Rattus norvegicus: one gene and its partners. The protein of the gene in region 2 binds, or shares a complex with, the protein of the main gene of each other region. Links are inferred from orthologs where the notes say so. Each region holds a gene or a part of one and is shown on either strand. Other genes may lie near its edges.

Region 1 (3,646 bases), on a different chromosome or scaffold from region 2:
TGTGTCAAAGGGACACAGAGCAAGTATAAGGCTCCAAGCCCCTTCCAACAGTACTGCCTGCCCCAGCTAGTCAGGTGACAGGCCCTCCCTTCGCTGGACCCTGCTTCCCATCTGTCAAATAACAGATGACCTGGGTGATTCCTGGGCCCTGCCCATCACAAGCCTCCTTGGAAAGGACAGGAAGCATGAGCTCAGGGACTCGGCAGCACTTCCTGCTCCAAAGGCTCAGGAGACAGCACCCTCCAACCCGATGCATTCACTCGAGTCACTCGTGAGTGCAATGGCAAACACGTGCCCTCGGACATCCCTGCAATGCCACCAACAGAGCCACACACTCATCCTCAGCTCTCAAGGAAGAAACTCTCTCACTACTGAAACTGGAACAAAAGATTGGCAAGGCCCTGAGCAAGAATGACAGGAGAATTCGTGGAGCATTCAACACTGTGGACAGTTTTGATCAGACCTACAAGCTTTGTGCTTCTCGTTAACAACACCATATGTGTTTCCCACTACATTCCAAGACCAGGCCTTCTGCTAGGTAAGCATCTTCACACATATCCCTTACTGCTACGTTCAGAAGGACAGGCCACCACGTGGGCTTGCAACAAAGGTGAGCAGAGTCACCTGGTCATTAGCGAAGATTCTCCGAGAGTACAAGCACGGTGTGTGGAAAGTTGCTGTGCTAAGGAAGAGGTTACATACTGCTCCCAACCCAGCTCCAGAAAGCTCTACCTGGAGGGTCTTGGCAAACGTAGCAGGTGTATTTCTCGGGCACATTTTCTTCCAGTAATCCCATGCAGACCCCGTGCTGCCAGCACTGGCATTCTTCACACTGTGAGAATTAAAGAAGCAACAGAACTTAGAAAGTAGAGCCCACTGACCTGGAGTGTGGGTGAAAGGAAATGGGGGGAGCGCTCCCTTCTGACCTCTACTCAACAAAGCTATGGCTACACAATGACCCAACTAGGCCACCACTGATCACATGGAGGGTGACGCATAACGAACAAATTAAGTTAAGAGTCCTTAGTTCTTCAGTCCCAAGAGCCATTTCAGAAGTGTCCGTATGACTATTGTCTCTGGAACAGAATAGAGCACAATAAAGAGAATCTAGATGGTCAAGTGTGGTGGAATATGTCTATGATCCCAGAACCTGAAAGGCAGAGGCATGAGGATAGGCTCAGCCAGACTCAGTTACACAATGAGACCAGAGCCAGCCTGGAATACTTCAGAACCTGTCTCAAAAACAAAACATGGAGCAAAAATGTAATCAGTTGAATAGTACTGACTTCAGACTGATTGCTGCCATTCCTGCCGCTCAGCCTCATGATCACTTTGTGGGGCTTAATGAAACCTGTTCAAACTCTTAGAATACATTATGTGTTACATGGCACAGTTCCAGGTCTCAGCCCTAGGCCTCAGTTTCCCCAAGTGGAGATGCGATACTGTTCCTGCCCACACCACAGGCTGTCTGTTAGGAATCCATGGGTCATATGCACATCCTCCCACTATGAACTCAGCACAAAGCCTCACACTGAGTTTCTATTATTAACAGATGGTAGCTAAGTCCCTCTGGCCTCCTAGAGCAATCACGCCCTAGTTCTCTGCATTTATTCTTAAAACTTGCTGAAGGTTGCACAGGTGATTAATGGCACATGAGACAGCGTGAACTTAGCCAAGTGCAAGAGTTCCTGCAAAGCCTGCGCTCAACCCCCTCTTTCCTGGTCCTGGGAGACCTGCCAGGGTCAGGAAGCAGAAAGGATCACTACCTTGAAGACACTAACTTTACTTGGGCTTATAAAACATTGTGGCCCCCAAAAATAAGGAAGTTGGTAGCTCTGAAACTAAGCAGGACTCTAAAATTAGTAGACAGAAAATATATGCAGAGAGGAAAGATGAGAGGGAGGGGGCCAGCCCTGCCAGGGAATTAGACTATTACAAAGGCATAAAATAATCACACAGCATTGTTGTGTTCTTCCGCCTCTGCTTCACTGAAAAAGAGAGGATCCAGAAAGAGACCCGAATGTACAGAGAAAGGCAGTAAATCAAGCAACATTTCAAAATGTGAGCACACTGCCAGTAAACTGAAGTCACAGCCCTCACTCCACACCAAAATAAGCATGCATAAGGTGCTTAAAGAACAAAGCGTCTGAAGTTCTAGAAGAAGCCACACAGATCTACACCCAGGAAGCAGAGACAGCATGGTAGCCTGTGCCTGTAACCTCAGCATTTAGGAGACAAAACAGAAAATACAGCATGTTTGAGAAGAAATGGGGCCAAGTGAGACTGGTTAGTTTCATTAGCTTGAATCTAGAATCACGGTGAAGAGTCTCTCATTTAGGGATTGTCTAGATCAGGTTAGTTTATGAGTCTGTTTATTCAGGATTGTTTTGGATAGCGTGAGAGGGAGACCCCCATTATAGGTGGTACCATTCCTGGGCAGGGGATGCTAAACCTTGCCAGAGTAAAGAAGTAAGCTAAGTGTGGCATGCAGGTATGAATTAGTTCCACTCTTCTTCTCGACACTGAGACAGGAGGAGCTGGCTTCATGCCCCTGCCACCACACCATTCTATGTCCATCTAGAACTGTGGGCTACAGTAACTTCTCCCTTAAGTTGCTTTTGTGAGGATATTTTATCATAGCAACAGAAAAGTAACTAAGACAGAGACTCTGCCCTTAAAAAAAAAAAAAAAGGACAAAAGACATAAATGCAACTTCAAATTTAAGTCAACTTCAAATTTTGTTATCATGCATATAAAACAAGGAAAGCAAAAAGCCAAAAAAGCCTGCTCTTCCTAATACATATAGCCTATGCAGAGATGTATGGTAGGTAGGCTGCCAAATCCCTTCATTGGGAACACCTGCTGCCAGCACACATGCATGCTCACATACACACACATACATACACACACACATACATACACACACACCAAATAACAGAGGAAGACAAATTATAAAACCTGACTCCATTTCTTCCCTCAGGACACCAGGGAAATTTATCTCAAAGAGAAGATGAGCCCATAAAGAAGACTGAATTACCACTCTACAGTCTGAGTCCCTGTTGTCCAACTCCTCTCTGTGAGACCACAGGCAAGGCTTTCCCTTTGGCCTCAATGACTTCTCATTCTATAATGGGTTATTTTCAGCAACCTAGAATTCCCAGAAATCTGAACCCAAAAGCAAGCTCAGTCTAATGCTGTGCGAACTGCTCACATGACTCACTCATGTCTTCCTCTAACCTGTGTTCTGGAAACTCTACTTGCCTGAATCATAAAGTCATTTTCCTCCTGCACTCCACAGATGCATCGGACCACCTCAAAGTCATAGCGGTCGTCGCCTTCAAGCTCCTCATCTGGGTTGGTGGTCACATCAACATCTTGACCGTATTCCTCATCACTCCAAAGAAAGCTCTCGGAAGAGGACTCGCTCAAATTATCCTCCTCTGGAAGGAAAGGGAAGCCAACAGTCAGTGCTCTAAACTCACACGTAACATTGTGTTTCATCCCCACTTGTCCAGGGACTTCCATGGGCCTGGAAACAGGACTCAGTTTTCAGCTTTATGCTTATTAGAACAGCTCAACTGATGCATGCTGCCTGACCAGGGCTGAACTAATGTCCCCATTTCCCTAAGGGGACACAAAGGGGCTC
Region 2 (3,646 bases):
GACCAACCACGCTGCATTGCAAAACAATGGAGAGTAGAGCTCTATCTTTGGCACAGCCCCCCCCCCCCAATTCTACCTCATGTCTTGCTCTCCCTCCATTCAAAGGAGACACCTCCTCACCTGTTCATCTAGCCCCAGCTCCGGTGTGGAGCATCGGGTGTCTTCACTGGCCAAGTGTCGCAGACTGTCCCGAGCCACAGGGGTGAGGGGGGCTGAGTGCAGTTCTGGGCTAATGGGACTCCTAGGAGATTGACCATGGGAGAACTCAGACAGAGAGTGGCTACTACTGACATCAGGGGAGGCAGGCTGTGGCGTGGAGGGGTTGGCACTGCCCAACTGAGGGGTGGTCCGGCCGTCTGATGACCTGTAAGACCTATGAGCCAAGAAATACACAAGTAAGTAAGGACATGGTCAAAGGCACTTAGCTTCTTTCTGGGGGCAGGGGCAGTAAGAAGAGTTATTTTTAAAAAAGCATCTAAACCAAAGCAGTTAATACGAGCTGACAGCAATGGTACTCTTTTAAGATCCATCGACTATACTTGCTTCTCCCTTTTACCCACATAGGAAGGTCTAGAACATGACATCTAAGAGCCACGAGCAACTATCAGCTCTGCCTAGTGAATTTACAATAGGGACTAGTTCTGGTTTTGAAAACAAGTCAAAGAAAAATAGGTGGTCCCCTACCACTCTTTAAGGAAATGGTCCATGAGACTTGCAGGGCAAGCACTTCTAACCCAGTGAGCCATCTAAAGTTAAGATTGCAAGACCAGTCCCCATCAAGAAAATCAACTTTTGAGTCCTTCTAAACTCCTCTGGCTAAATCACCATGACAACCAGTAGGAGGCCTTTAATCTTTCCGTGTCTACCATCCTCCTGCTCTCAATAAAGACTGGGAACCCATGCCTGCCCATTCATTACCTGCTGCCCCGACGCTGGGGTGGCACACTTGTGGTCCACAGCCACCGTGCCCTTTCCATCTCCTCACATTTGGCATGCAGGGCGGCAAAGGCTGCATCAGATAGGTCCTCAATCTACAACAAAGCAGTTTTGTCAATCTCTTTCCCCAGGAAGCTGAGGTTATAAATCAGCAGAATAATTCTAGAATCAGTCTCGTTCCATTGGAGATGCTGTCAGTCAAACAGAATAGGACAAGCTTGCATTTGATACGCCTAAAGGCACTGAGTATATGGACACAGGGTTGGGGTGGGTGTACATGCTCCTCCAAGACAGTATAAACATAGTATTACCTCCTCATTCTCTTCATCAGGACTCCCCTTCAGAGACTGAAGATCAACCTCTCGCCAGCTGCAAACAGGAAGAAAAAAAAAAATTACAGGATTGTAGGCAGGCTACCCCCACATGCAAATACCCACAAAGGCCAGAAACAGAAACCCAGAAGCAGCAAACTGTTAGAGGTGAGGCTGATAAGACTGTCAAACTCAATTTTTTTTTTTTTTTTTTTGGTTCTTTTTTTCGGAGCTAGGGACCGAACCCAGGGCCTTGCGCTTCCTAGGCAAGCGCTCTGCCACTGAGCCAAATCCCCAGTCCCCAAACTCAATTTCAAACAAACAGTATTTAATATTAGTTGATAATATCATACAGAATATAATCTTTGGAACCTTGCTATAGAGGTTTATAAATGAAATAAACATTTTCAGAAATCTGGTTTGATGCTGAGACAACATATTTAGTATTTAAAACACACAGTGTGAGCGGCCTGCCAGGTCTGACTTTTGGGTTGGTGGAGTCACACAATGGAATAAAAGAAGCCAACAGAAATAACTTTACTCCCATCAGGTACCCCTCCTCTACCCGCTATTTGCTCCTCCTGCTTTTTTTGAAACAGTCGTTCTCGTGTTCTCTCTCTCTCTCTCCCTCCCTCCCTCCCTCCCTCTCTCTCTCTCTCTCTCCCTCCCTCCCTCCCTCCCTCTCTCTCTCTCTGTAGCCCAAGTGGGGAGCAAACTCCATGGCCATCATCCTCAGTATCCCAACTGCTGAGAGTCTAAGTGTACACCATCCATGCAAGAAACGTCCAATGAAAACAACAATCCCTCCCAACCACTCCCCAAAACAAAAACACCCAAGTCTCATTCTGTAATGTAGGCTGGCCTTGAACTGCTGCAGCCTCCTAATGTCTGGAATTACAGATGTGAGGTACCAACCATGCCTTTTGACACCCCCCCCCCCCACTTTATTGTTTTTGGAAACAAAGTCTAGATCTATAGCCCACAGTGCACTCTGGGGAATCAGATGGACCATCATTCCTGGCCCCAGGCCCTTCTTTAAAAAAAAAAACAAAAACAAAAACAAAAACAATTTAAGGATAGGGACCTGCTTGGCCTGAGAGAAAGGAAATATAGAACAAAACAGGAAGAGAGGAAGAGGAGCTGATTAAATAATGCTTCTTTATACCTTGGAGTAAGGATTTCTTTGTATTGTAGTTTCTCAACACGAGTTGTTGCAGCAACAGACATTGGGATGACGATGTTGTTAATATCAAATGAGCTCTCTCCCCTTCTTCTCCTCACTGGCTGCTGTAAGACAAAAGTTTAAGTTTCAAGGGAGGTACAATGCTACAAATTTAAAAGCAGTCATATGACAGAATGACCATGCACACAGGTCCTTGGGTAGCAGTGGGAGCCCCAGGGAGTAAATCCCATTCACATGGCACTCTTCCTGATTATTCTCCTTTATTTTTATAGGTAGGTATCCTAAATTTTAAGCCACTTTAAATAGGTGGGAGTTCCTATTACTTCATTCTCCTAACATTCCTTTTTTTGTCGTTTGTATTTGAGACAGGGTTTCTCTACAAAGCCCTAGTTGTCTGGAGCTCACTCTAGAGACCAGGCTCACCTCTAACAGAGGAGCGCCTGCCTCTGCCCGGCTTTAACATTCCATCTTAACATCGAAAATCCTTGTTCCAGAGCCGGAGAGATGGCTCTGTGGTTAAGAGCTGCTCTTGGAACAATGGTGACTAGTTAGATTAAAAGCACTGAATTCTTTTACCAGAAAAGAGGTTCAAAGAGTAAGGCTGGCCTTAACAAACTATCTTACCTTAGCTGCCATGAAAACACCTTCCTCTTGAGGATCTCAACTCCTCAGCTAAGTCTGTACCACCACCTTCTCATCCCTTACACAATTCTCATCTTTCTATTATTTGGGGAAAGAGAAGAGTGGAAGGAAACTGAAAAGAAGAACCTGTCTATAGCTTCCACCCCCACCCCAAAAGGACATGTCTCCAGAGTAAGTAAGAATATTAAATCTTTGGGAAATAATGGTTTCAAGAGTCCAGCAGAGTTGGGCATCTATGATAGATAGGACACCAAGAATGAATAAAGCCAGGCACAGTGCTGTACATCTTTAATGCCAGCACTTGGGGGGGAGGGGGTCTAGACAGATCTTTGTGAGTTCAAGGTTAGCCTGGTTTAGACAGAAAGTTCTAGGACAGCTAGATCTACATAGAAAGACCCTGTCTTAAAAACAAAATAGAATGGGGCTGGAGAGATGGCTCAGTGGTTAAGAGCACCGACTGCTCTTCCAGAGGTCCTGAGTTCAAATCCCAGCAACCACATGGTGGCTCACAACCATCTGTAATGGGATCTGTTGCCTTCTTCTGGTGTGTCTGAAAACAGCTACAGCGTATTTA
Region 3 (4,398 bases), on a different chromosome or scaffold from region 2:
AATTTAAAGAAGGATATTGTATACATTTTATAGTCTGGCTATCAGTTTGATATCTTGCTGTCAAGGATGTTTCTCAATCTGTATTTATCCATCCCATCAATAAACGTTAATGATAAAATACTTGATTGTCGTTTTGCATGTTCCATGTCCTTAAACCAGTCTTTAACTGTTTGTTAAATCGTTCCCACTCTGCCTTTGTGTAATAGTATTAGGTTCCTATCACACAATACGCTATGGATGTTGAATCTGCTAGAAAGACCTGAGATTCAACAGTGAACCTGGTGGGTAAAGTAGCTTGTAGGCAGGGGAAACATTCATGCTGTACTGTTGCAGGAGTGCCTGAAGAGTTAAAAATAGCTTAGCTATATAGTAGGCTAAGCCATTCACTTGGCAAGCAAGCATCAAGACACAGCTGAACCTTTGGTACACAGTATGTTTTTATTCAAGACAGTTTCACTGTGTAGCCATCTGGCCTCAAACTGCATCCTCTTGCTACATCAAGATCTTGAGTTCTGAGAAACATAACTGGCATGGACTACCATGTCTGGCATGTATTTTGAAGAAAAGTTACACTTTTTGATAATGTGGAAAAGTTGTGAATGCTACATAAGGTAGATCTTACAAATTACACAAAGGAAAAGACCCTCTATGCACAACTACTTCAAACTTCAGGGGTACAGTACTTTGAAAACATTAAAAGGAGGGTTGGAGAGATGGCTCAAGTGGTCGGGAGTGCTGACTGCTCTTCTAGAGATCTTGAATTCAATTCCCAGCAACCACGTGGTGGCTCACAACGCTCTGTAATGGGGTCCAATGCCCTCTTCTGGTGTGGTGTGTCTGAAGACAGTGACAGTGTACTCACTCACATACATTAAATAAATAAACCTTAAAAAAAAAATCACGAAAACGGAATAGCCTGCTGTTTCTATAATACACTATCCAGCAGGGGAGTTAGAGGATTTGAGAGAAGCATGTCCTACTCTCAAATTTGATTTTCCGTCACTATATCCGTAAATAATGTCTACCTAAGAGAAAAATAGCGTCTACCTTTTAGGGCTGCTCTGCAAAAATTAATTAGTACATATGAGTCTCGAGACAGGAAAAAGAAGAGTTGGAGTGTTTACATGAAAGGACCAAAAAAATGAGCTGAACTGTTCACAATAGAAAACTAACAAAACCTTTTCATGTGTAAACAGAAAACACGGTCAGTCACCGTTCAGTTTTCTGCTGTGTAGGGATGGTAAAGAGGTAGCTGCTTGGGAAGACTGGAGACCACCGCCACCAGAAAACCAACGGTACAGAGATGGAAAAAAATATCTGAACCCAGCGAGGAGCTGTGGCCCGCCTTTCCCACCGCCCACTCACGGGCCGAGTTTCTGACAGACACTTCACATCAGCCAATCGCGTTGCGGAGTCTCACTGTCCCGCCCTCCTCGGGTCTAGTGTTGATTCTGACCAATAAAGGTACAGCAGCCTTAATACAACGACCAATCAGCGCTTAGGAGCCGCAGGGCCGAGTTCCGTGCAGGCGGAGCAGCCAGAGGGCGAGCTGCGCGGCGCAGCGCGGCGGGGAGGTAAGATGGCGCCGTGCCGGGCTCTTCTCCTTTGCCGTTAGGCTGCTGCTCGCCCTTTCTATCAACTCAGCGCGGTACGTCGTCTCCTGCAGCGTCAGAGTCATTCTGATTGTTGGGCTTTCGGGAGCCAGGTTCTCTGGTGCCGGGAGCCGTAGGACAAGATGGCGCTCGCAGGACGACGGCGTAGGCGCTTGGGCCGGGGCTGTGAGCTCTGAGGCGGCCAGGGACAAAGGCGGCGTGCCGGGGCGTGGGGGCGGGGCGCGCCGTTGCAGTTGTGCCGCGTGGGACAGGCGCCGCGCTTCCGGTCGGCTACTGTGGAGACTCGGCCAACGTGGTAGGGACCAGAGAAGCGAGCGGGCGGGCGGGCGGGTAGGCGGGTAGGGAGAAGGCGGGGGTGGGTGGGTTAGTAACGGAAGGTTGGAGGGCGGCGGGAGTTACGGTGCAACCCTCGTCCTGCGGCCCGCCGACCTGCGGGAGCACGTAGACAAGGACTTCTGGCAAGGTTAAGGCCATTTTGATCTTTCCCGTGACCACCTACCCGCAGGTTTTGGTATGAACAGGATTCGGATTCACGTCTTGCCAACGAATCGGGGGAGGATCACCCCAGTGCCCAGATCTCAGGAGCCCCTCTCTTGTTCGTTCACTCACCGCCCATGCTCTCAGCCGCGTCTGGAGGGGCAGGAGTTTTGTCTTAAGCATATTCTTGAAGACAAGAATGCACCCTTCAAACAATGTAGTTACATTTCGACGAAGAATGGGAAGAGGTGCCCCAGTGCTGCCCCAAAGCCTGAGAAGAAAGATGGGTATGTGTAGAGCGCGTGGGTATGTTGTGCCTTGGGGCTCTGAGAGTCGTTCCTTAATTTTCAATGCTGAGGATTGAACCCTGGGTCTGGTTCACGTAAAGCACAGGTTGCATCACCGAGCCTATTTTTACTATAGTTTGAAGCATTTATCTCCGGTTTGTAGTTTGATTTGTGTGTGCAGGGACACGTGGGGAGGTCAGTGGCCGATTTGTTGGAGTCGGTTCTAATGCCTCTTGGTATGGTGAATAGGAGGACGTTAGGCTCGGCTCGCAGAGTCATGGACGCCCCCACCTCCCTTTTGAGACAGTCTATATTCCCGGAACTTCTCCTCATGCGGACAAGACTGGCTTGGAACAGTTTTGGCAACCTTTTACGGTTTTTAAATTTTTTTTCCGTGTATGGGTGTTTTGCCTGCTTGTATGTTTGTACCATGTTCATGCTTGAGGAGGAGAGGGCGGTGGATCTCCAGGAACTGGATGGAGTTACAGAATGTTGGTGCGTCACCATGCCTGTCCCCTGCCTTCAGTTTTAAAGTGAAAAGAGGAACATGTGTAGTTATTTTATGTTGGTCATATCTGTGAAGTTTTAGGTCATGTGTTTGTAAAATTGGAATTAAAGGATACATTCTTTGGGAGGCATGTCAAAATACGAAAATGATCAGAACTGATGCTAGGCGGTGGTGGTGCAGGCCTTTAATCCTAGTGCTTGGGAGGCTGACTTGGGGTGATCTAGGAGTTCAGGCAAACCTAGGCTACAGGGTTGAATTCCAGAATAGACAGGGCTAAACAAAACCCTGTCTTAACCCTCCTACCCAACTCCGCCAATGATGAGAACTTGAAGGACACTTGAGGCACTGCTGAGGAAGGGGCATTTAGTTAATTGCTTACTTGTAAAATTAACATTTGAGTTCTCACTGTGGTCAGAGTAATTTTGAACCCCTAATTCTCCTGCCTCAGCTTCTGGAGTTCTCAGATTATTCCCATACTCAGATCTAAATTCTTCCTTAAACATTTATTCCGTGGATTCACGTGCTGCCAAACATGTGTGGTCAGAGGACAACCCTCTGGAGTTGGTTTTCCTGCTGTGTGGGGTGGTGATGGAACTTGGGTGGTCCGGCCTTGGTGGTAGGTGCTTTTGTTTGCTGAGTCACTGAACTGATGGCACTTCATGTTGGAGTGCTGACTCACTTGCCAAACCTTGTTAAGTAAAAGGCACACTCACTATATGTATGTGTGTTTTGGAAGGAGCTTCATAGTTTTTTATCATATGTACTTACCTGTGCAAACATAGGACTTTACTAGATAATTTTTTATAGATCTTCTTGCTTTAGAATTGTCTGTCTATAGTGGATTGATATTAATATGTGTTTGCAGAATTTATTTTGAAAAAAATACAAGCAGCTCTGATTTTCTGAGATACTGCTAACATTTTTATAGCTGGAATGGATTTGATAACTAGAACAGTGGGTAAGCTACTTGTCGCTCCCTTTGAGAGCAGCTACTATGAGCCAGGGAGGCAGCATGAGTTAGAGCTTTCCCTGCCTGGAGCTCTGGGCCTGACTGAACAGCACACATGCCACGCCACGCCACGCCACGCCACGCCACGCCCCCACCACACCTCACCAAGGACCCCAAATGGCTTACTTGAGGGCAGTTATATTTTTGATTCACATTGCTGCCTGACCCACAACCCCACAACAGGGTCTATTTAACCCTGGCTGTCCTGGAACTGTGTATACCAGGCTGACCTTGAACTCACAGATCCACCTCTGCCTCTAAAGTGCTGGGATTAAAGGCGTGAGTCACCATGCCTGGGTTTCATACTGCTCTTCAAGGTGTGACTATAAGTCATATTTCCTAAAGAAAAAAATCAACTGGTGACTGAATATTGCTGGTTCTTTCAAGAGAGGGCCTATTAAATATTAATGCTTTGTCTCCTTAGGGTGTCTTTCTGTGCTGAACATGCTCGAAGGAATGCCCTAGCACTTCATGCTCAAATGAAGAAGAGTAACCCAGGCCCTA

Evidence for each region.
Region 1: Kansl1 (region 2) and Phf20 share a complex: the UniProt entries of both Homo sapiens proteins name them as parts of the NSL complex. The link is inferred for Rattus norvegicus from reciprocal best matches to the Homo sapiens genes KANSL1 and PHF20.
Region 3: Kansl1 (region 2) and Kansl2 share a complex: the UniProt entries of both Homo sapiens proteins name them as parts of the NSL complex. The link is inferred for Rattus norvegicus from reciprocal best matches to the Homo sapiens genes KANSL1 and KANSL2.

What each region holds. Positions count from the first base shown.
Region 1 is NC_086021.1:165,260,717-165,264,362, reverse strand, and holds part of Phf20 (PHD finger protein 20), read right to left. Parts: intron 3,441-3,646; coding exon 3,262-3,440; intron 833-3,261; coding exon 733-832; intron 1-732. UniProt on the Homo sapiens protein: Methyllysine-binding protein, component of the MOF histone acetyltransferase protein complex.
Region 2 is NC_086028.1:89,739,504-89,743,149, forward strand, and holds part of Kansl1 (KAT8 regulatory NSL complex subunit 1), read right to left. Parts: intron 2,535-3,646; coding exon 2,413-2,534; intron 1,306-2,412; coding exon 1,248-1,305; intron 1,032-1,247; coding exon 919-1,031; intron 374-918; coding exon 121-373; intron 1-120. UniProt on the Homo sapiens protein: Non-catalytic component of the NSL histone acetyltransferase complex, a multiprotein complex that mediates histone H4 acetylation at 'Lys-5'- and 'Lys-8' (H4K5ac and H4K8ac) at transcription start sites and promotes transcription initiation.
Region 3 is NC_086025.1:131,561,898-131,566,295, reverse strand, and holds the start of Kansl2 (KAT8 regulatory NSL complex subunit 2), read left to right. Parts: upstream 1-1,542; 5' UTR 1,543-1,908; intron 1,909-2,118; 5' UTR 2,119-2,126; coding exon 2,127-2,377; intron 2,378-4,318; coding exon 4,319-4,398. UniProt on the Homo sapiens protein: Non-catalytic component of the NSL histone acetyltransferase complex, a multiprotein complex that mediates histone H4 acetylation at 'Lys-5'- and 'Lys-8' (H4K5ac and H4K8ac) at transcription start sites and promotes transcription initiation.